Linked DNA regions of Drosophila melanogaster. Changing the gene in region 1 together with any one later gene gives a genetic interaction. Each region holds a gene or a part of one and is shown in the gene's direction. Other genes may lie near its edges.

Evidence for each region.
Region 2: of Klc (region 1) and pk, changing one suppresses a phenotype caused by changing the other (phenotypic suppression), as found in Drosophila melanogaster (one study listed by BioGRID).
Region 3: of Klc (region 1) and DCTN2-p50, changing one enhances a phenotype caused by changing the other (phenotypic enhancement), as found in Drosophila melanogaster (one study listed by BioGRID).
Region 4: of Klc (region 1) and Appl, changing one enhances a phenotype caused by changing the other (phenotypic enhancement), as found in Drosophila melanogaster (one study listed by BioGRID).

Annotation. Positions count from the first base shown.
Region 1 is NT_037436.4:12,744,715-12,753,634, reverse strand, and holds Klc (kinesin light chain), read left to right. Parts: upstream 1-3,578; 5' UTR 3,579-3,672; intron 3,673-3,795; exon of another isoform or gene 3,796-3,925; intron 3,926-4,736; exon of another isoform or gene 4,737-4,828; intron 4,829-4,952; 5' UTR 4,953-4,977; coding exon 4,978-5,579; intron 5,580-5,693; coding exon 5,694-5,814; intron 5,815-5,880; coding exon 5,881-6,360; intron 6,361-6,431; coding exon 6,432-6,737; intron 6,738-6,804; coding exon 6,805-6,822; 3' UTR 6,823-7,019; downstream 7,020-8,920. Other genes in the region: CG10973 (uncharacterized protein), read left to right, coding at 22-230, 291-341; CG10984 (uncharacterized protein), read right to left, coding at 478-651, 713-2,328, 2,780-2,833, 2,896-3,028; CG32109 (uncharacterized protein), read right to left, coding at 7,157-7,338, 7,399-7,654, 7,710-7,906, 8,167-8,227; CG32112 (uncharacterized protein), read right to left, coding at 8,703-8,826, 8,889-8,920. UniProt on the Drosophila melanogaster protein: Kinesin is a microtubule-associated force-producing protein that may play a role in organelle transport. The light chain may function in coupling of cargo to the heavy chain or in the modulation of its ATPase activity.
Region 2 is NT_033778.4:7,183,499-7,191,674, forward strand, and holds the start of pk (prickle), read left to right. Parts: upstream 1-3,734; 5' UTR 3,735-4,115; intron 4,116-8,176. Other genes in the region: CG30384 (uncharacterized protein), read left to right, coding at 1-1,686. UniProt on the Drosophila melanogaster protein: Acts in a planar cell polarity (PCP) complex; polarization along the apical/basal axis of epithelial cells. Correct expression of the alternative isoforms is required for PCP signaling in imaginal disks.
Region 3 is NT_033778.4:8,888,347-8,895,468, forward strand, and holds DCTN2-p50 (dynactin 2, p50 subunit), read left to right. Parts: upstream 1-3,485; 5' UTR 3,486-3,607; coding exon 3,608-3,643; intron 3,644-3,727; coding exon 3,728-4,649; intron 4,650-4,715; coding exon 4,716-4,900; 3' UTR 4,901-4,993; downstream 4,994-7,122. Other genes in the region: CG8272 (uncharacterized protein), read right to left, coding at 691-1,449, 1,513-2,772, 2,904-2,954; Sec31 (secretory 31), read left to right, coding at 5,599-5,795, 5,858-6,821, 6,884-7,122. UniProt on the Drosophila melanogaster protein: Modulates cytoplasmic dynein binding to an organelle, and plays a role in prometaphase chromosome alignment and spindle organization during mitosis. May play a role in synapse formation during brain development.
Region 4 is NC_004354.4:529,573-537,371, forward strand, and holds the start of Appl (beta amyloid protein precursor-like), read left to right. Parts: upstream 1-1,597; 5' UTR 1,598-1,617; intron 1,618-2,054; 5' UTR 2,055-2,226; coding exon 2,227-2,304; intron 2,305-7,799. UniProt on the Drosophila melanogaster protein: During development, plays a role in the regulation of the neddylation pathway. Appl and APP-BP1 interact antagonistically during development.

The DNA of each region.
Region 1 (8,920 bases):
AATTATTTGTATTCCCATCAGATGATTTTGTGAAGGAAGAAGTGTTTCCTGTGCTAGTGGAAAACCTTAAGCCCGTTGATGACTTTGATATCAAACAAGAAACTACGCTTTTTGCACTTTCATCTCTTTCGCGGGAATCGGAGTTAAAACTCTCTACGGAAAAACGAGAGGAAATCCTATCGAAGCTTCAACAAATTATTTCCAAAAACAAACAGTCGGAAACGTGTGAAGTAAGATTATTTTATATATCTATTGTTATGTATCAAATTTCATACCTACTTTATTTACAGGACATGGTTAATTATGCAAGAAATATTTTTGACAACTTAAGTGCACATTAAAAACAAATCGATTTTTCACGTAAATGTTAAGTTAAATAAAATGGGCTTTGAAAGTATCTCTAGTTCACAAATCTTTCGAAGAAACACATTCCTGTGTTTATAATCTTGTAAAAATTTATTAATTTCAATGCGTCAGTTATGTTGGCAATGTGTCAAAGTCGTCACCAACTGAAACGATCGGAACGTGCTCCAAATTAACTTCAATCGGGTTGTCACATAGCCTATTTCGTTTTGCAAATATATTCCAATCCATCACCTGCACGGCGTGCAGACTTTCCGCCTCGTTATGATGCCGCAACACCATGGACTCCTTCAAAGGTAACAACAATTAAGATTTACAACGAAAAATATTTTGTTTAGGGTCAGCATACCTTAATTTTCTCCCACTTGTCATCAACATCTTGCAGCCAGCTGAGGAGCAAACGTCCATTAAAGCGGCAACGAGCACTCTTTTCCTTTTCATCCTGCTCCGGTGTGATCATGTTGTAGACCTCGTCGTCCTTCAAATACGTGCAAACGGAATAGGGCGCCGGCTGTCCAGATATGCTCCTGGCCGCCTTCGAGTGAACGCGTATTATCTCCTGCTCAACGTTCATGCATAGTTTCTCCCGCTCCACGGTGTGCGCTTCGATCAGATCTCGCCTGGCCTTCTCCTGATCCTGATAGATCCTCTCCATGGCCTGCGGAACAGTGCGTGGAATATCCGGAACTGAGATCGTCGCATTGCGTCTTAATAAGTAGGATTTCTTTGTCAGCAGATACTCGTTGTAACCTTGCGGAGGTCTTGGCTTCACCGGATACAAGCTCTTCCACTTCTTTTCGATCTGACGACGGATGCTCAAGAACATCTGGAAGCCATTGGTGAAGGGATGGTCATGGGGGTGAGATTCTTCGGAGTTGACACCGGAATCCGCCGCATTTGAGTTCTTCGAACTGTCGTCGGTGTTTTTCGGTCGAATCTTTCGCTTCCGTGGATGGAGTTCCACGTTCGAGGGATTTATGTCCTTGGACGAGGATGTCGACGACGTCGACGGGCTTGGAACATTGGTGATTGCCTCCTGGTCAAACTGGTGGCCCTGCGGGATCGGACTAGATGTCATGTTGCTATAGGAGAGCTTCACATCTGCAGGATCGTTGGCATGATTCGATGACGCTGGCGATGGAGAGCTGCTCTGCATTTGCGGGGAGGAGTTATTGGAACTGCGCTCCACACTGGTCACTCCAGTGCGATGAGAGCTTCGCAGGACCCTCAGGTTCTTTTCGTCATTGAAGAGCTTTATATTCTTGTCATCGAGGGCTGTGGAGCAAATGCTATTGCTCTTCTGTGGACTTTCGTGCGGGCTAATAGATTGATTGGTTATGACGGTGTCAATGGAATCGCTATTGGAGCTGACCACATACGGCAGGGCGGCATTGCGAGAGGCAGTCACCTTGCCAGTTCGAAGCACATTGCCCTCAGTGTCGATTGAGCAGTTCTGCTGCGGAATCACAATTTTTAATGGCGGCACTTTGAGTCCTCCGTTGTATAGGCTGTCGTTACTCTTGTAATCATCGCTGCACTCCGTTTCGTTCTCAATATCTACATTCTTACTAGTCTCCGCCGGCTCCTTTTCGGCATTGGAAGCGCTGCTTTTGTTTCCTGACGGGGATCCCTTCGTTGCAGCTAGCTTGGAGCTTTTCTCCACGCGCGATGTGAGCTTCAGGGAGGCCCCCTTCACGTCCTTTCCATGCTCCGAATCCTTGCGCTTCTTTTTCTTTACGTCCTCGCCAGATTCCTCGTAGTCCTCCTCTATGTCTGAGTAGCAGCGCTTGGCAGCCGAAGTTCCCTGATGATTCGTATCGCTGGATTTACCATCGTTGCTGCTCTCCTCCGCTGAAGATTTGTCTTTCGTGTCCAGGACCTCTTGCTTCTCATTCAGGCTGCCCTCGTCAGTCTCTGCGTCTCCTTTCTTGCATTCATTCTTCTTTAAGGTGGTGCGGGATGAATCTGCAAGAACGAGAATCTTATACATTACATTTGACGGCTGTGTGATTTAGTTTGGAAGATCATGTAGGAAGTAAAATGAAAGCTTATTGTCTATCGGATATCTTTTCGGGTGGAATTTGTAGTTATGTTTGAAGGAAAACCAACTAAAATGATTTTGTGTGAAAACTAAGAACTTAAGCATCGTTAAATGAGTTGTTTTTAATTTTGGTTTCTAAAGTATTAGCTCGGATAAGAGACAGGGTTTTTTTGACATCTTTACACATATTTCTTCAATAATAATTGGTATCTTCATTTGAATCAGTTAAATGACAATTTATCCGCAATCGAAACCAGTTTCTCGGATACTTTTACATTATTCCTGACTCTCAGATACATTTATGTATGTACATACGTAGATATGTACATGCATAGATGTATATGCGTGTAAGTATGTACGCAGCGAAGTACCCACGATGTAAATTGAAATTCAAGCCGACGAGCAAAAGTTCTAAGCTTTGTGACTGAACTATAAAATCCACTTGAATCATGTGAAAAGTAGACATTCACTTAATTATTTTGCTTATTTACCTGTCGACGAGTTGGCTGTCATTTGGATGAGCAGAGCCATTTGCTGCCTCTCCGACATTGGCGTGTTTGAGTTCGATCTGGGTTGGGTAGCTCCTGTATTAAATCCTATCCCCTTCGGTCTTGGGGGTGGCATACTCTTTTGTTCAGTTTTAGACGGTAAAAATTAAAATATAGAACAAAAACGGAGACTTGAAAAAGTCTTGCAAAATTTATTACAAAAAGAATAGTGCGACCGTATCGTGAATACAAAAATATGCCAGCTTGCTAATATAATAACGATGTTTTCAAATCCATTAAGTTAACAACAAATTAATTTATATATTATGTGTACAAATTTCAAGATACACCTTTAATTAGTTCCAAAAATTAAATTTTTTATTGAACTAAATCAATACCTGCTCCACCAAGGTATGTGCGTTTGTTGACCTCCAACATGTTATAGATGCTTACAAATAGCATGTTGCGCATTATTACTTTTAACTACTACTTTATTTATACTACATCTTAGCTATTATACGAAGTCTTATTGTTAGTCTACCCGATTTTTTCAGGAATTTTCATTTCTTTAGTTAGTGTTTCGATTCCACTGCGTTCTCCTCCCGACAGTGTGACCACTACTGCACAGTTGAAGAAAATCCTAGCTTGTCAAACACAATTCAACGCCCCGGCTACGGTCACACTCAGTTTTATTTTAGAAGTTTTGCAGTGTAAGATATTTTTATAGCAAATCTACGCACTATTTCGCTTATTTGAGGAGTTTGCAGAGCAAAACCGCTGGTAATAAGTTACAATATTTGAATGCACTGCGCGATAACTTGCATAATCATTTCCAACTGGATTTCGAACGACAAAATCCATTCACCCACACACAAACACATCTACTTGAGCTTATCTGTGTATGTACATATGTTGCACATAAATATAAGTGACTGCCACTTGAAGAAAAGTTTTTTACTGGAAAATATGATTCGTTTTACATAAATAATCAAGTCTAGTTGGAAAAGTGCTCGGCGGCAGCTCGTGTGGCAAAGTAAACACAAATGGAGGCCTAAGGCCTAAGTAATCGTTTAGCATGATAAATACTAAATACAATCTCTTAATGCCACTAACTTTTATGTTTAAGTGTTCATAGATATTATGTACAAAAAGTGACTCACTTTTTAATACACTGGAATTAGTGAGCTGGGGTGTTGTAACCCCATTTGCAATATTTATAATCTGACTATTCCAATCACAATATTTGGCGATCTTGATTAAGAATAAAGCTATTTTCTCGAAAATCAACTTACAATCTCATTTTACGCAATCTAGATTTCCGATTCGAAAGGCAAATGACTAAAGAAAACTATAATTTTGAATATGTTAGGGTACTAATAGCTTCGGTCTCTAAAAAACTATACAATTTATTTTAGTTGATGTAAGCAGCTACTTTTGCCATTCGTTTTTTGTTTATTGCATGACGCCAAGTGTAATTAACTTTCGCCCATAATTATAACCATAATAAACGAACTAAATGGCCTTAAACACTTTTTAACGAAGTGTCATGTTTATGTAAATCACACCGGCAATGTTGATAAATAATAAATAAAAGAAAGTTTTCAAAGCACAGTATTCGATATAAATCGAATATGCTTCCACCATTAGTTTCCAATTAGAAAACATAATTGAATGAACTGGAATTTGTTTGGCTTAAAAGTAAATTGAAGTTAACTTAATCCAGAAAGTTGATCCCTTACTTTTAATAGTTTCTGTAGTTTCTAAAAGTTATTGTTACAGCGAATGTAATAGCGCGGGCATTTTCGATTATCAACCACCTTTTTTAACGTGCATGCGCACTGCGAATTTTCTTTTTCATCGTATTGATTAACGCAGCTAGAATCGTTTAATATACGGTTAAAATGATTGTCTCCAAAGCTATCAAATCATACAGGATGTAAAACACATCAAATACCTCGATTAACACCTTTTAATTTTGATATCATTCATGTTGTTACACTTTCAGATGTCAGAGGGTTGTAGGAGCACTTACTAATCTGTATTTTGTATGTGTTTTGTAGACAGAAAATTGAGAAAATCGGCAAAATGACGCAAATGTCGCAGGACGAAATCATAACCAATACGAAAACAGTCCTTCAAGGCCTCGAAGCCTTGCGAGTGGAGCATGTTTCGATTATGAACGGAATCGCCGAGGTGCAGAAGGACAATGAAAAGTCGGACATGCTGCGAAAGAACATCGAGAACATCGAACTGGGCCTCAGCGAGGCCCAGGTGATGATGGCCCTGACATCCCATCTGCAGAACATCGAGGCCGAGAAGCACAAGCTTAAGACACAGGTGCGCCGCCTCCACCAGGAGAACGCCTGGCTTCGCGACGAGCTGGCCAACACTCAGCAAAAGTTCCAGGCATCCGAGCAGCTGGTGGCCCAACTAGAGGAGGAGAAGAAGCACCTGGAGTTCATGGCGTCCGTGAAGAAGTACGACGAGAATCAGGAGCAGGACGACGCTTGCGACAAGTCCCGCACCGATCCCGTGGTCGAGCTATTCCCGGACGAGGAAAACGAGGACAGACACAACATGTCGCCCACTCCGCCCAGCCAGTTCGCCAACCAGACTTCCGGCTACGAGATTCCAGCGCGTCTCCGTACTCTGCACAACCTGGTCATTCAGTATGCATCGCAGGGAAGGTAAGTCATCATCCATGCATTTTATTTTACTCGTGAGCACTAAAGAAACCCCTTACCTACAACATCGTTATCTATCAATTCATCATTAACTATAATAGCCTAATATATTTCTAGATACGAGGTAGCCGTTCCCCTCTGCAAGCAAGCATTGGAAGATCTCGAAAGGACAAGTGGTCACGACCATCCCGATGTAGCAACCATGCTGAACATTTTGGCTCTCGTGTACCGCGATCAGGTGCGTCTACGCTTTGATTAACTTAATTTATACAATCGTTAATTAACAACATCTCGTGCCATACAGAACAAGTATAAGGAGGCCGCCAATTTACTCAACGACGCTCTGTCGATTCGAGGAAAGACACTGGGCGAGAACCATCCAGCCGTGGCGGCCACGTTGAACAACTTGGCCGTCCTCTATGGCAAACGTGGCAAGTACAAAGATGCCGAGCCACTGTGCAAGCGTGCCTTGGAGATCCGAGAGAAAGTCCTGGGAAAGGATCATCCCGATGTTGCCAAGCAACTTAACAATCTCGCCCTGCTCTGCCAGAATCAGGGCAAATACGACGAGGTTGAGAAGTACTACCAGCGAGCTCTCGACATCTACGAATCAAAGTTGGGTCCCGATGATCCCAACGTGGCCAAGACAAAGAATAATCTGGCCGGCTGCTATCTGAAGCAAGGTAGATACACCGAAGCTGAAATCCTCTATAAGCAGGTCTTGACGCGAGCCCACGAACGTGAGTTTGGAGCCATCGACAGCAAAAACAAGCCCATTTGGCAGGTAATGTTGTGTTGTTGTGCTGTTATGCCTGGTAAATACTCAAAAGTTCCTTTTCTTACTACAATTTTCAGGTGGCTGAGGAGCGTGAGGAGCACAAATTCGATAACAGGGAGAACACTCCATATGGCGAGTACGGCGGTTGGCATAAGGCCGCTAAAGTGGATTCGCCCACGGTCACAACCACTCTAAAAAATCTGGGAGCACTTTACCGACGTCAAGGCATGTTTGAAGCGGCCGAAACCCTGGAAGACTGTGCAATGCGGAGTAAAAAAGAAGCCTACGATCTAGCTAAACAAACGAAGCTCTCACAATTGCTAACGTCAAACGAAAAGCGACGATCGAAGGCAATTAAAGAGGATTTGGATTTCTCTGAGGAGGTGAGTTTCAAAATCGAATCACTTAACTTAATTAACTTAAATTAATCATTCCCATTTATTCTTGCAGAAGAATGCGAAACCATAAAAATATTATTTGTTCATCGCCCACAACGGAATCTTTAAGTTTATGATTGAAAGCTAACAGCAAACACACACTTTATTTATTCATTCCTTAATATACATAAGCTCTCAAGCATACATTAGCAAATAAACAACGTTTTATACCTTGTTATTTCAAAAAATATGTACCGCTTTTAATAATAAACCAAATATATTTAACATAATCCTGTTTGTATTTAAACCTTCAAAACTAAACCAAAAATACGGACCAGATATAGCACATTACAGTGGAATCAGCTTAACATTTATTATTGATAACAAACAGTACGATTAGTTTGCCTACGATAACTGAGTATCAGTTAGTCGCTATCATTGTCATTTAAAATCGAGGAAACTATGCCTGCAAACTGCTCAGCCCGATCCAGAAATTGTTCCCGAGTGAGACTCGTATCGTTACGTAGATTTTGCGCCGTGAGGAGTAAGTTTTCAAAGTCCTTCAGCTGACTATCCAGCTCGTCGGCACTGATTTCCTCCTTGTGATCTGCAAATCAATAGGACGAAATGGATTATTGGTTTCTCAACTCAAATCCTGGGCACTAACCAGAACCAAACTTGACATTGGACCAAACTACGTTTTTCAAACCCTCCACAACTTCCTCGTAGTCCTTTTCAGCTTCATCTGGGTCACTCTCAACATTGCTTCTCAATGTTATGATGTCAAAAAGGAAATTCGTTTTCTCCTTAATTTCTCCAAAGGACAATCCACCTTCTTCTGAAGTGGAAGAGGTTAGCAGAAAGCCCAGCTGAATCTGTTCATTCTTCGCTAACGTCTTGGGAATAGTGTCGATAAAGGAGGTCTGCAAGTAATTGTAATATAATAGATATACTATTATTGCTTTTATAAACACTTACGTCTTGTGAATCAAAGTAAATAATCAACGCCTCGGTTGCTTGAAGAATTTTCTCCGGCACAGCTTCCAGTTTTCCAGAAAATGGAATTAAGTTGATAGAAGTGTTATAGTACTTGGTTTTAATGATGCACTTATAACAATTAAGTGAGCACTCCGTTGATGTTGATTCCTTCGATTGATTCACTTCAGATAAAATATCTGCAACAAAATGGAACGTATAAACGTAGTAGTAAACGTATTTATGAATGGGTTTTTTTTTTAACAATCCTTTATACTCTTATAAAAATGCATTGTATGATTAGTATGCTGTATTCATACCAACAGAATAAAAACATTTAATTCGCCTGTATTACTCATAAATTTCAAATAAACAAAGCTGCAACAACGTGAAAATACTGGGACAACAAAAATAGGGCCTTTGAAGAACACTCTGTACTTTTTCAAGTAACTAATCTTACTTTCGACTATTTCCAGTGCAGGAACTGCTCCATAAGATAAAACAAGTACTACTGGATCCATTATATTGCAATTTCTTTATTTATTTCAGTCAACAAAAACAAAAGCTATGCACCAGTGTGACCAAGCTTCGAGAACGAAAAGTTCTGAACTCCAAATGAATAAAGCTTTGCTTTTACCGGCACTTTTTTAAAATGTTTTTTTTTTTTTAATAATTTACATATATATTAAAAAGGAGGGAACGCTTTATTTCAGTTTCCCGGCTATAGGATACCCCTTACTCAGCTGGTACGAAAGAAGAAAAGACTATTTTTTTAGATAGCTCACTAGCTCACTGGCGTTTATATTTATTGTCGATTGTGGTCGTTTTGGTGGGCGTGGTAATATAAATTAGAAAATATATGGGGAACCAGTTTCCATTCCAAATCAAGAAAACTGTACTCCTTCCCAAGTAAAATACCTAATTATGTACAATTTACTAGACTTTTCTTTAAATGGCAACATATTCATCATTATGTTTTGATATGCTAACTTATATTTACTGAATATTTTTGTCATATCTCTTTATCAACTGCTCATAGGTTATATCACATTTCAGGCCCTCGCCCACGTCATTCTCATAGATTTTCTTTGCCCGCTCGAAAGCCTCAATAATGCAGGATCTGAAAAGAAAAGTGATCTATTATAATTTTATTTAAATTTATAAAGAAAACTTTATGCCCACCTAAATAGCTTCTGATGCAGAACGTAGGCGCT
Region 2 (8,176 bases), on another chromosome or scaffold:
GGTACAGTGGTGCGGCTTCTCGACCTTGCCGGTCGCATGAATCCCACTACTTTGATCCAGAAGAAACCTGCTGTTCTTCCCAGCAAATGCCAAGTTCTACCAGAACTGCAAGAGACGCTTCCGTGCGCCGAGCAGGCCGGTCGGGCGGACGTGGAGATCACCGGGCTAACCCGTGCCACCAAGCAGGAGATCCTGGGCAGGGCGTACCAACGGCCCGAGATGCCCACTCCGTGGGAGAAGTCGCGAATGCTGGAGAATCATATTGAGAACAAAAGCAGCGACATCATGCGCGTCATCTCGTTCTTTCCGAATCTGGACAGATTGGAGGTGGTGGGTGGTCCCGTGCAGCAGGAGTTTACCGACGGCGAAATCAGTCGTGTCGAGCGGGTGTCTTGCGACTCAATTTTCAGCGTGAGCAGCACGTCTCAGATACTTCCCGACGAGGAGCAAAAAGAGGAGAGCCCTTCCAGGGCAGAACCTGACCAGGGAAAGGGAACGGAATCTGTGGTTTCCCGTGCAGCCGTTAAGATTAACGGTATGCTGTTCGTAAACTCAGGAAAGCGCATCTTTTTGCCGGAGATCGCAAACGTTTTCTTCGAATGTCATCCGTTCCAGAACGTGGTCAAGGATGTGGCTAGCGTGGAGAACGTCGGTGGTCATGTGCTCACCTGCCAGTGGTGCTCTGTCGAATCAAAGCGTGCCCCCAAAAGCACTGCCCAATGCCATAACTTCCTTATGTCCCAGGCCAACTTCACTGTTTTCCCAGGAGAGGTGCACGTATGCCGAGCGCTTTTCAGGCCACGTGGATGCTACCTGCTGAAGCAGCGATATGAGCTCCGCATTTTTCCCAACGTAATCGGTTCTGTGCGCGGTATTTTCTTGGCCCGGCTTACGGGGCACTGTACTCCCGCGCCGGAGTACACAAACAAGCTGCGGCGGCACCAACAACTGCTTACGGACAAGGCGAAGAAGAAAATGTCCAATGACCTGAACAAGTACCAGGCGTCCGTAGTGCCCCTTTTGCATCCGCCCGAAGTGATATGTCCTTATGAAAGAGTTTTGGATGAGAGGGAGGTGTTCAATGTAGAAAATCCCGGCTACAAGTGCGAACGGTTTGATGATCTGGAAAAATTGAAGTCACTATACAAAGCTCTAAAGAAACCGAGGGAGCCCGCTTGGGATCTGCGCCTGCAGACGGTTCGTGAGGTAATCCTGCGGCTTCCGGACTCTAATAAACGGAAGTTCTATTACGGAAAACTGGTCAAAGTTCAGGAGGAACTAAAGCTGGGTAGAGGCAGAGATTCTCTTACGCATTTCAGTCGGAATGACGAGAGGATTCGATCCAGGTTCATCTACGTGAGGGGTTGTATAGGCAATGGAATCCAGGAATGGGAGGAGATGATGGCGTCGATGGAACTGAGTGGCCTCAGATTGGAGATAAGTCACTTTCAGCTAAGAGAGGAAGAAGGGGAGCCGCCATCCGACGGGACCGATTATAATGGCAAAGAATCGGAGGAAAAGCCGTGGATCCAGCAGCTGCGTAGGAAAAACCCATATCAGTATCTCTTGAAAAAACTGCGATCGCGGAAATCTTACAGGGATAGCCTCTACATGCAGACCTACTCGCACCTGTGTGACATGGCCGAGAACGTGGTTTCTGTTATCGAGAGCACCAAAAACGCTTAAAGTAGCCCTACAAAACAGCTTTTTGCGGCTTGTTTGCAATGTTAACGTCCAAATTTAATATGACCGAGAAGTTGCTAAAACTCTCGCATTGAAATAAAGAAAAACTCCCCAGGGATGGTCTATTGATTTGGAAATCTATTAGCCCGCCCGGGGTGGGAACTATTTCCCTGCCTGGGGACACACCTGTGCCCCCGATGTGGCGCCAACTTTTCCCATTACGATAGCCCTTTATGGGCCAACAAAATTGCCCATTTCACGAGAGGAATGCGGGCCCACACCCCGCAACCCCCATAATGCTTAATGGCGCGCAAATGTGGGCCGGAAAAGTTTGGAAGCCGACTTCGATTTGAGCTAGCTTGCATTGATTTGATGACACTTTGGGGCCCATTCGATTCCGCTAATAAACGAACCACGTCCAGCCCCCTAAACTCCAGCCATTCCCTCCCAGACTTGGCGTGTCTAAAAGTTGTCTGCACCTTGGGGCTGCTCTTTTGACGTTTCCTTCCCAAATGGTGTTTGATGAAATGTGGCAACGAATGAGGCCGTTATGCTTGCAATTAGCCAAATTGATTTTTTGATAGCGTCAACGCTATCCAACTATAATCCCCATTCTTATACTCAATCTTATTTTGGCCCTTATTAGACTCAGCTAATTGCCTTCGATTTACATTTTCGTTTCAGGTAAGCCAAGCGCAGAAACCTACATAAGTATACGTATTGCTGGACAGGTCTTTGATGCCCGGCCCCTCGGGAGCTTCACACGCCGCCGATCCACAATTCAAAATGCCATAAATCATGCATCATTGAGGCATCCCAGGTTGTGCAACAAAAAGCGGCACGCAGAAACGTAGTGTTTCCGTTCACACTCAGCTTCTAATTAGCCTGCGCTGAGATGGCACTAATGTGCGGCCTAATGATCTCCAGTCGGCAGGCAATGATGGTGACCAACTAACATGGTCAGCTGGAAATCAACCTTGAACTCGTCAGATGGCCAACACGGTTGACATCGCACTTTTTGTCACTTCAAGCCCACTTTGCAATGTGGTTGGGAAATATTTTTGCTTTCTGACAAGAGATATTTCATCACTAAGTACCGGCTTTAAATGTAGCTTATGTTATATTTTTGGTCACATCTAATTTATAAAAACCACTCTTAATTACTCAAAAGGGTTTGGCCAAATCGTATTTCACGGTTACCATATTAAAAACTCTTTTGGGTACCCTTCTAGTGTTTTAACTGTTAAAGTATGAAAATCATTTTAGTACGTATTCTTTCGTGTATGTGTGGTAATCAGCTCTTCTGATGCACTTCATTACTACATGCAGTTTTTTCTTACTTAATTATTTTAAGTTTATTGCTCTTTAAACACCATTAATTTACAAGGTGTTTATTACTTAAAGTTAATTATTTAAGATTTGAACAGCGCTGCCATCAGAATACGGCTGGATATATAACTACTAAATTCTTACATCCATGGGAAGGTAGATTACGCAATTCACTATTTATGAACACGAGGCATTCTATGTAAAAGCCCTATTATTGTCCCATAGAGTCCTGGAAAGTTCTTCAGATACTTCAGCATCTAGAATTTTAGAACCCTATATTGTTTGCAAAAAGAAACAAGAAACTTATATTTCTACATTAGACTTAAACGATGAAATATTAGGAACTCAGATTCTACAGAGAATCTTACGCGCAAATCTACATGTATATGATTCTAAAAATGCGTAGTAACGAAGCATACTTTTGGGATGGTAGTGTAAGCAATGGAGCTATCAAACAAGTTCGATGTTGCAGTTGCGGATTGAGTTGCAGCTTATGATATTTGGCGTTTTATACAAATTTAGACAATTTTAACGACGAAATCGGAAACAAATTACTATAAACTATCTTGTTATCGTTAACTACACTTAATAGTGATAGTATTTTGGCAGCTCGTTGAAAGAACACTAAAGCAAGAAGTCCCACGAACACCTTACCTTCATCGAACACGATCCACAGCCTAAGATCAAACCACACAGAAATCCACATCTGGGCAGGTTCGATCAGTCTGAAAGCGTCGTCAGTTGCGAGCGGTTTACATCTGGCAACAGGTGCGGGTTAGTCGTCGCGTAATCCGTCTGAACGATCGATCGATCGCGCGCTCTTCGGCTATGTCGATTTCGGTCCACGTTATCTTGCGCCAGATCTGTCGTTTACCGTTTTTCAGCCAGATCGGAGCAAAGTGCACAAAAAGCTGCTAACTGAATTCGCAACAATTGCAAAAAATTGACAAAAGTGAAGTGCAATCCATAATCCAGAGTGGTCCCTATCAGGGCCAGCTAAATAAGTCTGGCATAGTGTTCCTTCCTGGGGCCAAGTGAATTAATGCAACAATTGGCCTAAGCGCTCATTTACGCTAAATGCTCGGGATAAGCCACACGGGCAAGTGAGATGTGATTTAAGCCATGTTTTCGCCTGATGATTGTCAACGCAGCTCGTTTCGTACAACACGGATACCAGCTGATACTCAAACTCAAACTCCTTCACTGATACAAACGCTTTCGTATTCGTATTCAGATACAGATACAACTGACAATAAAATTACATTAAAAATCAAATGAAATTCGAGGCCGATTGATATGCGAGGCACAGACGTCGGGCCGGCTGCTTTAGCGCAATATTTTTATGGGATTATCGAAGGTCGAGAATCTGTTAGCCAAGGTGTGTGGCTGATACTTAGGAAACGAAAGACTTGAGCAACGAACTTTGGATATGCCCGGCCCGTCGGTGTAATGGCTTTCATAAGCTTATGCACATTACACGTCAACTGAAGTGCTCAGCTTGATTTATTTAGATGCGTTAAGTTTTAATCGCCATTCGCAGCGCACTTTCACCAACTTGCTGCAGCCTCGCGGAATGAAGTCATAACCAAATAGGCTTACGACCCGCTCCAGCACATAAAACATGACTCGTCTAGCCATAAAAACACTTGCCAAAGCCCGAAATATTTTGATTACCGCGCACAGCTCTTGGCTTTCTCCGCCGCTTGATCCAATTAGTTTTTGGTGGGCCATAGTGCAGATAAAGCTGAGGATCTACGGATCTGGTGATCCAAAGCAGCTGCCACCCACAGAAGTGTAATGAAACGGGCTTACATGGCGGCAATGTGTCAACAATGGCTTGTTAGCAATTGCTTTTCAGTCCCGTGTGTGTGTGTGTGTGTCTGTGTGGGCTTCGAACACCTCATTGACAAGAGACATTTGACTCGAGCTGAACGTGTGTGTGGGCCGGGGTTGAAATTTATCTCCGATTTCTAATTGCCTGACATGCCAATTTGAATTTAAAGCGCACCGATAGTGGTTCTGCGGCGCATTCCTCCGCGGTGTATGTACATAGCCCAGGCACGGTGGCCATAAAGCACCAACGGAACACTGCAATTCGCTCTGGTCTTTTATGGCCCGGCCAACTAAATCAATTTTCGCACTGCGGCTGGCTTCGATTCCGGGCTTTATTGAGAAATTCTTCATAATTATGTAGCGTCGGCCGGCGGCGGTTCGAAATAAAACTGTTGTTTATGGCCGAGTTGCGGCAACTAGTTGGCTCAATTATGGAGCTGCTGCATCAACTTTCTCCCTCACTATGGGCCAACTGCCACGGCTGCTTAACCCCAATCGACGCCTCGAACTGACTAACTAACTAACTAACTGGCGTGTTAATTTGTTGGTTAGTTTACTCCGCACGCAGCCATCTAGCCACAATTGCCGGAGCATGAAGGCAAGATGCTCTGGCTATCTGGCTGTCGGGCTATCTGAGATACAAAGCAGCTAAAGATTCCCGCCTCGGAATAGATTGGCCACTTTACAGTTATCGACTTGGTTTTGTTAGCATAACAAAAGGTCCGAGTGGGTCAACAACCTAACTTCGTTATGTCAATCTCTGTGTCTGTGCCCCACCATTTGCATATTACACATGTCTCACGTCCATTTAAAGACGCAATTAACGAACCATTTCCCAGCTATTCATCATTGGCGAGCGAATTTCGGTCTGTAAATTAATTAGGCCCCGTTATGAGCTTTTGAGGCGGGAAGTCGTAAATAAGTATTGGATCCGTCGATGGACGTATGCAAACGCCAATTTGAACTGTCATCCTGTCAGCTCGCGTTAGTTTCCCAACCATCTTCCAGGCAGATAAGAACGGGTTCCCCGGAAAATGGAGCAACGTTAGCTGGCCCGGCCCGCTCGTTTCCTCTCACTCAACGCCATTTGATTGGATTTGACATTTAACACGAGTGCGCTGCAGATTAGACCGGCCAACTGCCTACCGCCCACAAGGTGTCCATTTTGGCGGCGTGCCGACTCGATTTTCATTTCACTTTGTTTTCCACGACATCGAACGATTTTCGAGATGCGATCGGGTTTTATGTGAGCGCAATAAAAACTTGAAAAGGAATTCCATTTCTGCTTAGAGCAATCAATTTCGATGGCGACAAAGACGTTTAGCACCCCGCTCCACCGATAAGCCAGGCGTGAGATTATTATCCGACCCAATGAAATATGAGGCCCAGACAATGGCTCATTAGATCGCCGGGCTTTCGCCCAAACTAGTTTGGCTGGCGGACCTAAACTGTGTAATTATTACGGCCTGGCCCAGCCGTAGCTTTCAGAGGCTCAAATTATAGTTTGGCAGTAAAATAGACAAACAAGTTAATCCATTAGCGAGTGAGACATCCCGCCTGACTGCCAAACAGAACCGGAAAGAATCCAGCTCTGAAGACCGCTATTGGGTGCATATCTCTTATTGTTTATATTGTCTCCCTGGCGGGATTCGTATGGTAATATCGGAAAATGTGCCAGCTGCATAGGCCCATCCGACTGCATAATAAATTATGAAATTTTACAGTTGCAGCCGCGCTGAATGAGTTGTCACGTCTGCGGCTTTCTAAACCACTTAGGTAGGCAGTGATAAGTCCATATATATGTCAGATTCTGTGGCGCTGAATGGGGTTCTTGATAGCTTGATAACACAATTTTAACCCGTTCAAAAGAGACTTTCCGGGCAAATGCGGCTCAAGTGGGCGCAACACTAAACACAAAAGGTTGAGTGCTGCGGTGAACGGCTTAACTGCGCGTTGGGAAAGTAAACCAAGACAAAGCAATTGACTTTTTAACCTGCATTTCTGTAAATTACACTCCGAGAAAAATCTACATAAATAGTCATAAAATTAATTGCGCCTGTCTGCCATTTTCCACGCAGTTTCCCAGCCGCCGGCCATGAAATCTTGAGCCCCGGCAAATGCCTGGCAATAAAAGGCACCATAAAGCTACCATACTTGAGTTTATGCCGTATGCAAGGGGGGACACTCCTGGTCAACTGTGTAATTCCAACTGGGGATTGATGACAGAGCCGCCAGCCATTGAAACTAAAGTAGAGTCGTATGGAAAATCGCAGTTAAGAGCAATGCAATACAGCAATGGCAACTTCTGCATTTGCCTAGGCTGAGGCGTGTGCAAACGCGCATACGCCCCGTTGGCCTAGTGCGATTTCAATCAGCCGCTGCCAATGGGTCAGGCATTATCAGATATTAACGCCGGCAATTTGGCATCGGATAAATTACGCGACAAGCATCGATGGCGTCACTTACACATGTCGAACAACCGCCATCAATAAATACTAACGGTGCCTCGCGGCATCAACTCCACATCCACATCCAAAGTGCAACACTCCATCTGGCATATGGCATCTTGGATCTGGGATTTACAGCCTTCCATCTTCTGCCGTGGACCAAACGCCGGAAGTCTTTGTTTGGGCATTCGCTGGCCGCCCGGCTCCAGTTTTTCTTTATGATTATTGTGTGATCGCGTTTTAATCGCATCGGGGCATAGCTCTTTGTGGCGCATGTGAATCATGCACAAGTGCCGCTTTTCCCATTCGGAGACCGGTTTTCCCCACTTACCCACTACTCATTGGGCTCTAATCACACCCGCTGTCTAACTGCAAATCTGGCCGAGATCGCGTGCTGCGGCCCCGACTTTGTTGCGGTTGGAAATCATCTTCAATTTCTGTGCTAGCCGGAAGCCAGTTGCTCCATTCGAGCGATTATGATTGCGATTCTTCTTGTTTATAATTCAATTATAGTCCTCCTTCGTTCAGAGCCTCGAATTCTTCCGCGCGAATGTTGAGTTTTCTGGATGGAATGTGTGCCTACGCTGCGTGCGATGCATGCAGAGAAAACGCTATAATTTCTCTATTTGGACTAAAATTAATGCAAAAAATGATCTATATATGGCACTCTAGCATGAACTTTGAATTGAGCTACTCTCGAATTCATCATGAGAATGGACATATTATGACAGTTTTCGTTTAGCATTGAAAATGGTCCCGTTGGCCGTTTAACTTTAAATTGAGTTGTCACTAACGAACTGACGTCATTCCGTTTCCAAGCTGTGTGCTGGTACCTGTGATCTTTGATCTCGAACTCTTTGGTAATCTGATAAATATTGCCTCCG
Region 3 (7,122 bases), on another chromosome or scaffold:
ATATAAATTTAACTAACTGTACGATTTACTAGACACTCATTAAGTTACTCAGTAATTATTTTAATTTTTGATCTTTATTTACAAATACATTAACCACTTAAGTCAGTTGAGTTCAGTTAACGATTTAATCGTATAAAGCTTATAAGAAGTGACAGTGACTTGTTGTAATTATAACCACAATGTGTTTTCAAAAACTTCATTTTTGGGTTTTTCTCCTAAACTGAATTAACAAATTTTCAACTATTTAATAACTACTAACGAATCAAATCAAGTTAAATACTCAACAATCAAACAAACAACTTTAATTTTGGCAACCGATCACATAATTTACAATCGTGTACACTTATCATACGATTCGTACCTTACAAAAAATCACAGTTGAATGCGGACAAACGTTACGTACGAAAATTTAATTGCATTACAATCGAGACTTGTAATTTTGCTAATCTAACGTGCGCGGTTAGTGTAAATTTAAGTGCACATATATGCAAATACATATATGTCTGCATATATATGTATATGTATGTATATTTGACTAAAGCTTTCACAACTATAGCCCAGCTGCTGGGGGCCGATAGATAAAAATAAATATATGTGGGGGGTTGTTCCGACGGCTGGGGCGATTGACTAGCGGAAGTTGTACAGCTGAAAGTAGTACAACATCAAGACAATGAAGATGGCGGCAAAGTATCAGTAATCGAGTCGCTTTTTCAGGCGGAAAAACTCGGCGTTGTCGATGCTCGTCAGATTGTCCATGTTCAGGTTGCGCAACGTCTTCACGCCGGATAGTCGCTCCTCCAAGTCTGTGTACATACTCCGACATCGATAGATTGACAGCGTTTGCAGGCAGCTGCAGTTGGTGATAATGGCGTCCAGCGTGTGCTCCGTCAGCTGGCTGCAACCGCTGATGTGCAGAGCCTTCAGGCGGGGCAACTTAGACGTTACCACCTGGATGGTCTTGTCCGTAATGTTGTAGCAGTCAGATAGGTCGAGCTCCTCAATCGATGGGCAACTGCTGGCCATCGCCTCCATGCCCAGCAGGGAAATCTGCTGGCAATTCGAGAGCATTAGCCGCCTCAGCTCGATGTGCTTCAGCCCATATTTCAGGGATACATCACTGATCTTATTGCAGCCACGCAAGTTTAGCGATCGCAATCCCCGCAACTGCTGAATGTTGTGACCCTCGAAATCATCCTCTCGTATCAGGTTCATTTCGTAGGCGGCCAGCATGGCTTGCTTTCGCCGGGCATCCCGAACAATCTCATCCTCGGCCTTGCTCCTGAGCGATATCTTAATGGACTGCAGGGAACCCGCCAGGCTGTCTCGTTCCGCCAGCGTGTTCGAGTACGGCGGGTAGAAGTTGTCCATCGACGACACCTGCGAACCCGACTGCTTACGACTCATTTCCAGCTTGGATATGTTTATACCTGTGAGGGCTGCATCGGTTAACTATATTTAAATAAAACCAAATTACAAGGCAGAACTTATATTTATCGCGACTTTCAGTCTTACCCCACTGCAGTGCTCTAAAGAGAGCTCGCGCAGCCATCGCAGCTGGCCGATGACCGACTGGATAGCCTCATCGGTGGCTCCATTGACGCAGTGATTCAAGTGCAGTGATCGCAGACATCGTAGGTTACTGGCAATTGCCTTGATGCATTCCTCGCAGATCTGAAGGTATGAAACGTTCAGCTCCTGTATTACCGGATTCTCCTCGCTAGCGATGCCTTCTATGATGCCGCTGCTTGTCAAGTTATCGCAGTTTGAGATGTCCAGACTTTTGAGACACTTTAGCTTGGCCAAGTGGATGGCACCAGCATTTGTAATGCTCAGGCAGCCGTTCACCTTCAAGTGCTCCAGCTGCGGATTAGTTTGTACCAAGGCGGCCAGATTTTCATCGTTAACACACATTGTGGCCGACAAATCGAGGGCACACAACTGGGGCTGTGTGGCTAGAAAGTTCAGGATTGTGGTGCAGTTAAGCTGTCTGCATCCGGCCAAATAGAGGCGCTGCAGTTGGAGATTGAGGTCGCAAAGGGCCAACAAAGCCTGGCCAATTAGGGTGTGGCTAAAGTTCAACACGCGCAACGTACGTCGCTGCAGGTTCAGAATGGTGAGGATGAACTTGAACGTGAGCACAGACTCGCTGGGCAAAACGTGATCCGAGGAGCTGGTGGCAGGGTAAAATCTGCGATGAATAGCATTGTGAAAGGCTATGTGACAGCCGGACATGTTAATCGCTTCCAGACTGGGCATGAACGATGTGAGACGCATAAGAATGGCATCCGTGAGGTATTGGTTCTCGCACAGCGTCAGCTCCTTGATGCCGGCCAGATTGCTTGCCAGGTCGTTTAGGTCAGGACAGGAGTTGTTGTAAGAGTCCAGGAAAGAGCCGGACATGAACAGCGGCAGACAGCGCTTCAGCGACAGCGAGTGGAGATGGGGCAGCACGCCCAGCATGCCGTAGAACTGTTTGTCATTCAAATCCACATTGTCCAGAGCCAGGGACTGAGCGGTCCTGCCCATGAAGCGCATCAATTCCTTTACTTGTCCCAGTGTCACGTCCTCGAACAGGAAGTGCTGGAAACGCCGCTCGCAGCGCATCAGATCCACTCCAGGACTCAATTGATCCGATAGCACCACCTTGGAGAAGCAGACTCGCGTGCGCTGGTTAAATTCCGCCTGATCCAGCGCCGCATGCCATCGCTGGCAGGTGGATCCTGCCGCTTGTAAGTCCGAGTAGCCGAGATAGCTGAAAATCTTCAAAACAATCTGGGGGCGGAACAGAAAAAAACAAAATCAGCTGACTGCCCTAACAGGTATATGAATATGCAGATATAGATACGCTCGAAATGATGGATTGGTCACGGGACCGCGGCAGTCCGTTCACATTATATGCTCACCTCCAGCGGCAGATCATCGTATCTATGCAACCCGTACTCTAAGCCAGACATTACTCTATTGTTTTCGGATGCAAAATATTAAGATTAGTACAACCAACTAGCAGCTCCCACCGCCCACTCGCTTCGCCCGCAAACTACACGAAAACTACAGTGTTGACTAACTTAGTACCTGTGCTAGGTACAGTAGGACCGTGCCTTTTTTCTATCCTCACTGGTCTATAAAATACCAGAAGAAAAGTGTACCTTCATTGATTTACCAATTGGAAGTCGATCATGGAATTATTTACCTATTGCTTATGAATGATTTTAAATGTATATCGTTTTTCCTAAAATCAAAATAGGTTTAAATTAGCACAAAAAGCTTTAATTTATTTTTATAAATGTTTGCATCTATGAATCCAGTTAACAAAGTACAATGTGCAAGTACAATTTATTTATATCGATGATATATTTTGCAATACTATTTACTCTTAGCTTATTAGCCGTTACAAGTAATAACTGTCTTTTTTAAATGACTTTTTAGATACCTCTGTTTATAAATACTCCAATGACAACTGCACTTTGGCATTTGTTTGGTAACCGCGCACGGTAACTTTTTTTATGACATCAGATCGAATTGATTGTTGTAAAAAAGGATTTTTGAAGGTTTATAATTATTTCGTTGCCAAAGGATTCCAAACACCGCCGTCGACGTGCCCACAATAATGGCCGATCCCAAGTTCCAGAACCTACCGGGAATAGTAAGTCGGAACTCCGCACCATGGCAGTGACGTTTAAGCTTTCGTTTTTGCCCATTTATACATATATGTACTTTATGTTTTTAGGCTTATGACCAGCCGGACGTGTACGAAACTCCAGATGACCCGGAGCTCGATACATCCGACTACTACGAAGAGGAGCCGGAGAACGAAGCCATCGAGCGACTGCACATCTCGCCGAGCGTCGCTCACAAGCGCTTCAGCGGAGCAACGGTCGAGGGGAGTGTGGACTTCACGGATCGCATTGGACGACGCATGTGCCGGGGTTACGATACGCGCGGCTCCAGCGACTACGAGCTGGTTGGCCAGGGCGAGAAGGAGACGCCGGTGCAGAAGTGCCAGCGCCTGCAGATCGAGATGAACGAGCTTCTGAACGAGGTGGCCGCCTTGCAGGTGGACCGCAAGGTAGCCGACGAGGAGAAGCAGTCGTACGATGCGGTGGCCACGGTTATCAGCACGGCCCGAAAGGTGCTGGAGTCGCTGAAGCTGGAGCAAGTGCTGGGCAAGGAGCAGACGCCTGGAAGTAAGCAGGTGAAAGCACTCATTAGCCAGGTGGAGGAGTTCAAGCAGTCCGGCGTTCTCACAGCCATACCCACGCCTGGCACCGATCTGGCGGCCACGGCCCGCGTAGCCAGTCTAGAGCAGCGAATCTCGCAGCTGGAGAAGGTGCTGGGCGCTCAGCCGGACAAGTTGAGCCGCCTTACCGCCGCCACCAACACCACCAATGTACTAGAGGCAGTGCGTCATCTAAGCACCAAGGCGGCCCTGATACAGCCTGATAAACTGGACACCATCGAGCAGCGCCTGACCTCGCTGGCCGGCAAGATGGATGCTATCGCCGAAAAGTCCAGCGGCAGTGCCCAGGACGCCAAACGAGATCAGAAGATTACGGAACTATACGACATCGCGAAGCGCACGGAGCCAGTGGTGGAAATACTGCCGCACGTCATCGAACGCATGCAAGCCCTCGAGGCCCTCCATAAATATGGTAAGCAATTCTATTTAGCATTTTAGCATTGTGCTTGTTTCTGTAACTAATCAACTTGCTCTGCAGCAAACAATTTCGCCAAGATCATCGCAGAGATTGAGCAGAAGCAGGGAACCATCACCACTAGCTTGGTGAACAACAAGGAGCTGCTGCATTCCGTACAGGAGACTTTCGCCCAGAATCTGGAGACTATCAACAGCAAGGTGGCCAAGGTGGAGCAGCGTGTGGCGGCCATATCGTCTGCCAAATGAGTGGATGCATACCATGCGTATTAAATAAACATAGCTTATATTTATGAAAGATACCTATAATAAAGAGATCTACATTCGAGTCCAGTTCCAGTCAAAAAATAAATGCAAAGTGATCTGGAATTTAAAATGAGTTCATAATAAATATTAATATTAAAAGTGCTGAAGCTAGTTTACGAATATAAAATGCGATGGAAAATAAATCTTTAAATAATTTCGACTATCATTTTTAATAATGTATACTGATAAAAACTATTTTTAAAATTGCACATTGAAACGGAATATTTAAATTGCATACCGTTAAACTCGCAGTATATTCTGGTCGCACGCATTTGGTATTTCAGTGCGTGCCCTGTGGTATATTACGTTGGCTCAGAGCACGGTCACACTGGCCGTTCCTACGGTTCTTAAAAATATTAACGATTCCAGTTAAATTCAAGATCAAAAAGTCTCGTTGCAGCGCAAGCGAGTACAAATTGCATTCACAATTGTGTGTAAGTTGCGCAATTAGCATAATTAAAGATACTTAAAGGCCGGCGGGCACTACTGGGCCACATCTGCAATGGGGAAGCCAATGGGAAAAGTGATGACGGGGCTTACTCCAATTGGACGTGACACAATTTCGTTCTGAACTTGTACCTCCCATAATATTTGTGTTTTTTCGCTTTATTTACACGAGCAGCACGAAGGGACATTGCAAGATGAAGATCAAGGAACTGCAAAAGACGGTGAACATCGCCTGGTCGCCGGCGCAGCAGCAGCAGATTCTCTTGGCCGCCGGCACCGCCGCCCAACAATTCGATTCCAATGCCAATTCCACTCTGGAGTTGTACTCACCGAACTTCAGCGATGCCACATACGATCTGGAGCTGAGGGCCAGCGTTTCCAGCCAGTACAAGTGAGTTATGGCTTTCAATTTGTGCATCAAGTCGTTCACATAACCGGCTTTTCCTCCCGCAGGTTCCAAAAACTCATCTGGTCCCCAGTGGGACCACACCCCAGTGGCCTGATTGTGGGCGGCTGCGAGGCGGGGCAGATCAACATATACTCAGCCGACAAGCTGCTTGCAGGCAAGGAGGAGCCGCTTCTGAAGCGCCAGGACAAGCACACAGGCGCCGTTAGCGGGTTGGACTTCAATCCCTTCCAGAACAACCTGCTGGCCTCATGCGCCTCCGAATCGGAAATCCTAATCTGGGACCTCAACAACCCGGAAACAAGCATGAGTCCCGGCACCAAGACACAACCACTGGAGGACGTAAAGAACGTAGCATGGAACAGGCAGGTGCAGCACATTCTAGCCTCCGTGTTCAGCACACGCTGCGTGATTTGGGATCTGCGTAAGAGTCAGCAGATCATCAAGCTCTCCGACTCGCAGTCGCGAGTGAGGTGGCACGCTATTGAGTGGCATCCGGAGGCGGCGACGCAGGTGTGGCTGGCTTCCGAGGACGACCAGGCGCCAGTGGTGCAGCTGTGGGATCTGCGATATGCCACGGCTCCAGCCAAAACATACCAGATTCATGAGCGCGGAGTGCTGGGAATGTCGTGGTGCCTGCAGGACAACGATCTAATGGTTTCGTGTGGCAAAGACAACCGCATCTATTGCTGGAACCCCAATACCAAGATTCCAGAGGGAGAAATCCTATCTGAGGTTGCCACCACTGCCTCGTGGTACTCCGATGTGCAGTTTTGCCCACGTAATCCAGCTCTGATAGCTAGCGCCAGCTTGGAGGGAGCAGTTTCCATTTACTCTCTACATGGAGGCACTCACCACCTTGTGCAAACCGCCAACAAGATTGCCGACTCGTTTCCGGGCATGGATCAGTTTGCCCAGGAGCCAATTCCGCAGCAGGCCACGCAAGTGGTTTACCATGACCTGGCGCACGCTCCCAAATGGATGAAGCGGCCCTGTGGCGTTGCCTTTGGAGTTAGTTAGCTGGCGTAAACAAGTTTATAAACCTATTTAAAAATCAATTTCTTCGTTTTTAGTTCGGTGGCAAGTTGGTCAGTTTCAATGGAACCTCGAAAACGGTCAAGGTCCAACAGCTAACCACCGAATCCGCCCTTGTGGACCGGGCTAATGCCCTGGAACGCTCTCTGGTCGATGCCAATTATTCGGATTACTGTCGGCAGCGAGCAGACGAGACACCGGATCAGCATGGCCGCTACATCTGGTACTTTATTAAGGCGAACTTCGAGCTTAATCCCAAGGAGGAAATGCTGAACCT
Region 4 (7,799 bases), on another chromosome or scaffold:
CTACACGCTCGTTGGTTCAATGTTCCTGCAAGCTCGATTTCATATTCATTGCCACGTACGTTTCAGCTTACCGTGCACTGCCACGCCAGCCGGCTAAGTGCGTTGCGCAACTAGGTGAAATGTGCGTTGTTGTAGGTGTATAGCTCCGTGTCTGTACCAGGCTCCGTTCCTAGGTTTATGCTTTCCTGAGGCCTAGCAAGTAGGAGGCGGCGTAAATAAACAAATGTAAGAAATCTAATTTGTAGCCGGTAAGAAGATCAGCTGTGCGGCACAGAGTTGCCAGTCGCTGGGAAGGAAAAAATGAACATGTTAAATAATGTCGAAAGTGGTTTGCAACTTGGCTAAGGGCCAAGCAATAAGTGATGTGGATAGGAAATTGGGTGGTTGGTGGTGGGAAACTTGGATTTGGTCATATCTTACATCTTACATCTTACATCTTACATCTTACATATCGACGCCATCTAGTGCAGATTGGCTTCACCATTAGAAAAAGTATATAAACTCTTGAATCCATCGAGGAAAACAAATTTGAATTAAGTTTAGTGGTTTATAAAAACTCGTGCATAGGACAGCCTTTTGAAGACGGTGACCTGTGCGAAATTCCCTTGGGAGTTTCCACCTAGCGGTGTGCATGTAAACTAACTAACAAGCACTCCGCCAGACACTCTTGGTTCGCCCGCGGAACCAGTTCTCCCTAGTCACTTCTGTCCTGCTTGTTCCGCTAATACCACTACCACTGGAAGCACTGGTACCATAGTGCAGCCCGGACAGCCAAAAACATTGTCACCCCCGCGGAAAGCGGAAGGCCAGTTGCTCGATTCGCCCTTAATATCGATCCCGGGCACGCGCTCTGCATTCTGCGCCCGAGTTCGACTTTCGCAGTTCGCACTTTCGGACGTGGACTCGCAGGATTGCAGGCAACGAGACCACTCGCAGTCGTTTGTGAGCGTTCGCAGCGCCAGGTATAGCGTACAGCCAGGGCTCCAAAAACTCAGCGCTTTAGGGGCTTCTTCGGGCCACCCCATCTGACCACTCCCCGACAGCTTGGGAAGGCCAGGGGCTGCTGGCCAGTGGCTCTTGTCGTTCTCCCGCTCGGGCGGAGAGGTGGTGGCCGAGGAGCCACAAGCACAAAACCAGAGACACACATTGAGAGACCGTCAAATTTAACCAAAACAAGCTCAATACTTTTTTTTGCTGTTCAAGTGCTAAATAGTGCTAAAAAAGAAACCCAACAACAAAAACCATAGAGAAACATCCAAAACAAAGTGATACAAGTTCGGAAAGAAAAAGCGAAGCCGATGCCAATAGTGGATTTGTGATGCCAACTTAGCTGGGGGACAATAAGCAGCGCACCTGCGCAGAATCAGTGAGAAAGGGGTTGGGAAAGTGCGCAGAAGCCCGACGGATACGTTCCAAGAGTGCGGGAAGGGGTTAGCGAGTGGGTGGATTTGCGTGGGAACTGCCAAGACAGGAGACAGGAGACATGGACAAGTGACATGGGACGTGGAACCCGACGACTGCAGCTGACAACTTTTCCAGGCGCAGAACGGCGGCCATAGTGCCACTCATATTTTCCGTTTCGGGGAAGTACAATCTCAGGACCCCGAGAACCAGCGAGTGGGTATGACAGGACAGATAGCAGCGAGTACTCTCGTAGCTTTGCCTTATTTTTCTTTTCTTCCTTTTCCTTCAATTCCCTTATCCGCCCCCGCCCATCACGGACTCTCTCCTACTACGTTCCACAATCGAATACTACGGCCACTCACATACAAGCCACACGCACAGAGTTTTCCGAGTTGACATTTTCCGTGCATAGGTTTCTGGGCATCGGCGAAAGGAAAAGCGCTGCGCTGTGGGCAGCTAACTTGGGCACCGCAAATCGAACGAAATCGGAGTACGAACCTTAGAGCGCAGAAATCAGAAAACAGAAATCATAACCCAGAACCCAGAAAGTTAAAGGCTGAAACGAAAGGCCACAATTCCGAATCGCTTGCTAATGAAATTTTTTTGTGTTTTCGATTTCTTGCTGCTGCTACCGTCGTCCGCCTGTGCAGCAAAGTGTTAAACGAATAGCCAACAAAGCAAATACAATTAACCAGAACTGGAAGCACGTCAGTCCAGCCGCAGAAGCAGCTAAGTTCAGACCAAACTCGGAGATTCCCAGCCAGGAGATAGGACCAGGAGCCAACCAGACGAGGAGCAAAGAAGCAGAAAAGAGTGCGAACAATGTGCGCCGCGCTGCGTCGTAATTTGTTGCTGAGGAGCCTCTGGGTCGTCCTGGCCATTGGCACTGCTCAGGTTCAGGTGAGTCACCGAATCCCCACCACACCACACTACACCACACCACACGACATAACAACACACCACACTACAGCACACCACAACACACCACAGCACACCAGACCATTTCACTCCACTTTCGATACAATACTCGATGGAACGAAGGAGTAAGTCGAAAGAGCCGAAACTCAGAACAGAAACACAAACCGAAAATGAAACTGACAGAGAACACTGGGAAACTGGGCAAAACTGCACACTAAAACATTGTTTCGTTAGGGCTTTAATCGGGATGACAAATTGATTTAAACAGACAACTCGACGCTCGATGTTAGCCACGCATTGAAGCTGATAGAAGTCAAAACAATATTAATTCGGTGTCCGGGGAAGACAAGTAGGTCTCCAGCAATTAGGGACTTGTGTTGTTGCGCTACTGCCTCATCTGGCTTACTGACACAACACCCAACTTATGTATAACTTGAGTACGGCTCACAAAATAGCAGTGTGGCTCTATACTTTCTGCGTGCAACAGCAATACCAATCGCAACCGCAACCCACACACACAGGCACCCACACTCTCGCACACACACAGAGAGCCAGATACACAAGCACACAAGCACTTGAGCGGGTTTCTGTGGGATGTGGTGGCCGTCGGCTAAGCAGCCGCGCAAAGTATGCTACGAAAAATGTGCCATCGCTTAGCAGCGGCACTAAAGGCTCGAGGGCTTGAAGGCGGGAAAGGGTTGGGGATTGGGGATTGGGGATTGGGGATTGGAGATTGGGGATGGGTATGGGATGGGGATGGGATGGGGATGGGTGATAGGGCTGCCAAATTACTTGCGAGTGTGCGCAAGTATTGGCTTAATTGAACCGTTTGCTTGTCGCTGGCTACTGGCCAACTGAAAGCCGAAAACCGAAAACTTGAGGCTAGAGGATAGCAGCAGCTGGCTTCGACTAGCAATTTGCATATAAAAGTAGCGGAGGTGTTACCGAAACCAAACAGGGCGTGCAGACATTTTGATTTTGATTTTCTACACGCAGCGACTGGCAAATATCGTAGAAATGGAGTGCGGGGCCGGGTTATGCGTCCTTCGGTTGGGGTTTAAGTCCGGCTAAAAACTATCCGGCTCTGTCTGAGCATAATCCCCAAATTGGTCTGGGGCTGGACCTGCATTCACCACGAATCCTCTTGTTCAGGTCAATTCATCGACTGGCATACGTGCACGCACACACCTACCGACAAACCAAAAGGGAAGACATGCGTTACTAGGATATTGTTAGCTTTAGCTAAAGTGTTTTTAAATCATTTGCAAACAATTTTTGCCAGGCGGCAGCTCTCGTTCTTTGGGGCCGATCCACAATCGCCGACGTGCCTGACCTTAACAATTTTGCTTTACTTTCTTGTCTCTTAAATACCTCGGAGCAATTTTCCCTTGGCAACGCAGAGCGAACAGTCTTCTGTGGCGGAACAAAAACCTAATAAAATCCATATTCATGTGGAGACAGACCAATTGAAAGAGAAGAACCGAGGGGCAGCACCTCCAAGGACCCAGGAGCCAGGAGTTCGGCCCAATCCCGGACAGGGGAGCAGTTAAGCTGCTTTATAGCGCATTGCACTCCTTTCATGTCTTGCTTTGTATGCAGCCTGCAATTTGCTTTGCTCTCCATTCGTTCATTCACTCTCCACCCATCTTACCCTTAATTCGGCTATTCATGCTAGACCGTCGCTGCGTGCAATTCATGGCAGGACTAGCCTGGACCTGGTCAGCCACTCACCCACAGGTCCACCCTTCAGCTTCGTTGTTATCAGGGGCACGCATCGCCGACGTCATTTTTGTGGTGGTCGTTGATTACTTATGTCGCTTGCACCCACCATTCCCACCCTGCTTGGGACAACTACTGCTAAAGCGTTTTAATACCTTTTGCTTCGTGTAACTTTAATATTGGATCATTTTTCTTTGTGAAAAATGCTAGCAGTTGGTTGCAATATAACCCACATTTTCAGTAAAAAAAAAACTGTCGGCAAAGTTCTGTGTGTTTTAAGCGGGATTTCCAAAGTAGTGGTTTCCTCCAATGTTGTAGTAATGCATTACCAACTAGGGACTTTTTTTAAAAGAATTTCTGTTTTTTTGTACCCTGCCCTCCCCAGTTGCTCACCCGTTTTGTAGCTATCTCCTTTCTGCTTGTATTCTTTCTGCCCTTTTTCACTCTTTTTTTATAAGGACATGTCTGAATCATCCAGAAAGCAGGGAGGGATTTGCGGACTGCAATGTGCAATATACCCGAGAATCTCCCCAAACACTCGATGCCAACGATGTGTCTCCCTCAAACCTGGCAAACGGAACACGCAATCGTTGCTGCCAAACAGCCCATTCAAAGTCCCTTTTTACAGAGGCCTGGGGCTTTCAAAGGGGATGACAGGAGGGTGGAGAAGGGTGGCTGGGAGTCGTTGGCCATTTGATTGTCGGGTAGAAACTGCGAACCGACGGCCAACTTTAGTTGCACACCATGCTTCTTTGGCACAACTCCCCCCAATTTCACTGGAGTCAACTGAATTAGTCAGTTCGCTGCTTGCTGACTGATAGAAGGCAGCGGCGCAGTTCAGCTCTTCCCGCCCCCCACATGAGTCACCCACTGGGAGTGGAATGATTCATTCGGGAATGCAATGCAGTCGCCGCAACGGAATTTCCCACAGCCGCAAAACTTTTCAGAAATTCCGGGTTTCGCTTCGAAAATGCATCCATCTAGTACTCTTTTTAAATGCTTGTGCATCCCAACCAAAAGTGAAGCATCAAGTATTTGAGTTCATCGTTTTGAAAGCAAATGGCTCGCCAACTAGACGGTGCAACATGTGCAGGTAGAACCTTATCGATAAGCTGGCCAAAGTGGATACTGCCTATTTCCCCAGATACCACACTCATTCCATGGGAGTGGAGCAAGAGTATCTGCCTTCGGGGTTCGCCACATTGGGTTCAGCTGCAGAGACCGCAGTTCGTGATTGGGTTAAGTTTAGGATGCAATTGGGTTTGTAGCTGGTCAGCCATAGTAAGTCATTTGAGCAGCCGCATCTCTCATCCACTGACTTGTTCGATCCGTACTGCCAGCCAGGTTGCCCAGTGCTCTGTGCCCAGTGCGACCCGATTCCATTGTCATTTGTCAGTTTAAGAGTTGTCCACGTCCTGTTCATCGTTCATTAGTTGTGGTATCGATGTCACACACATGTATGCTTTGCTGCAGGGGATGGTGCGGCGGGTTGATACGTAGATGAGTGGTTGTAACTGTGCAGTGACCCCAACATCCCTGATATTCCCCACCAGAGCCCTCCTTCTTTTTGTCGTCCTTCGCCACTCGCTTGGTTTTGTTTCGTTTCGTTCCGTTTGGTTGCCTTGGCGTGGCTTGGATCGGCTTTTATTTTGGCTCGGATCGAAGGTTTAGGTTTACGTAGTCGTGTTTGTGTTCGTTTTGTCCTGGCCGTAAGAGTCCTCTCCCTTCGAGCACTCGCCCATTCCTGAATCCTGTTACAAAGCATTTACGCTTCAATGGTTTTTTTCGATTATGCATTTTGCTCATTTTCATTTCACCATTGACAAAGGCACTGGTCAAGCAGCTTGGTGGCTAGGCAGCTAAGCAACTAGGCAGCCAGGACTTTGGCTAATGTGTTCATTGTCTGTGTCAGAGTTGCAGGAATTAGGGTTAAGTGCTACTGCCCAGCTGTGCTGTTCTGTGTCTGCCTCTAGGGCTCTTAAAATCGCAGTTCACCTTCGAGTGGCAAACAAAAATGGGTTGTGAGTTGGGCGGTGTCATTTTATGCTAGTTTAACGTGGGTAAACGTGGGTCAACAACTATTATCCACTATCCAGCAAGGTGACGACTTTCCAGCCCTGCTGATAAGGTGAAATGAAAATAATACGATAACCCTTCGCTGATAATGCTGATGAAGATGATGATGACGATGACTCACAATAGCGCAAATGATCCAGAACGAATGACAGCATCAACGAAACGAAAATGAAAGAAACCCAAATGAATAGAAATGGGGGCAAACCGGAATAAAAGTATCGAAGAAAGAAGGAAAAGGGTGGTTTAATTAGCTAGACAGAGTTCAAATTTTTGTACGTCATATAAAAACCAAATAACAAAATGAAAATGTGTATTACATATTTTACTCACCTGCATATATGTATGTACATATGTCGAAAAAAGAGGCATTGAGTGGAAATTCAACAAAATTTATTCCTTTTCTTAGGCTGCCACAGCTTTCTTCATTTACCCCTTCTTCACTAAAAAACCAACCAAAAATAGTTCATTTTGATATATGGGATCTCAGCTCTAAAATACATCACAGACCTAGGCGTTAAGTCCTTTTTGGCTTTCTTATTTACACTGCAAACAAAACCAAAACTATAGTTCAGCCTTTCATAAGCTGATGTCCCAGAAAAAAAGAAGTGAAAACCATCAGGAAAACGTAGCCAGTGAGAATCGGAGGAGGTCCTTTGCCCCATTTCTTCGCCATTTGCGGAGCACGTCTTTGGCACAGCCGTGCGGTAATGTTTTATACATTTGTACTGCAAACATTTACGAGGGGGAAAAACTTCGCAAGTGTGGACTTCAGGGGCAGAGGGGGTGTGGCAGCTCCAATGTGGCGGGCGCAAAGTGTTCGTTGACGGAGCCCGAACGTCTTTTTCTTACCTTTCCTTTCCTTTCTTTTCTTTTCGTTTCTTGTCTGCTTGTTCTACTGCTATTGTGCTGGTTCTAGCTGGTTCTACCCAGTGCGACGATGGTTAGTGGGTGGGTGGATGGAAGGTGTCGCCCGCCACCTGCTCAATAGTTCGCTGCTGATTTCATTTGAATAGCACAAATGGCACTTTCCAAATCGAGTAGCTAGCTCCCCGAACCCCCAGGCCCCTCCGGCTTTCGCTTCTTGATCGGAATTGGGTTAGGTCTGCAATTCTGATTCGCTACCATACGAAGGGAATAAAGCCCGACTCGGGTTGTGTTGACTTGACTTGACTCGTTCCACTTGAGTGCCTTGGGCAAAGCTCCTTTCGGGCCAAGCTTGAGCATTAGGCAGGTTCCTGGAAACCAACAAGATGGTGTGATTAGCAATAAGCACCGGGTGGCCTCCTTGAGCTGGCGATTGCATTTTGCCGGAGGGAGTGTACGAATAGCCTCTACGGTGTCGCCCACCCTGCGGATTTAGAGTGCTTTTCAGTCAGAATTGTTCCGATGCGTTCCCATCAATTGCGGCCACCGCATCGAATGCCAAAAAGGCCAGGTCTTGTCTTGGATAAATTTAGCATGCGTCGATAAAGCTCCCAACCCGCTTATACATATAGCTTATAGTTATGACCCAATTAATTCTAAACCCACATCAGGTGCAAGGCGGGTCACATATTTGTGCTGGCTTTTCATATGATTTTTCACCGGGTTCTTCTGACCCACTGCTCGCATTTTTTCTCTTTTGATGCTTTTCATTTCTCGACTTGCCTGCCGTCGACATAAAAATACAGAAATACTGAAAT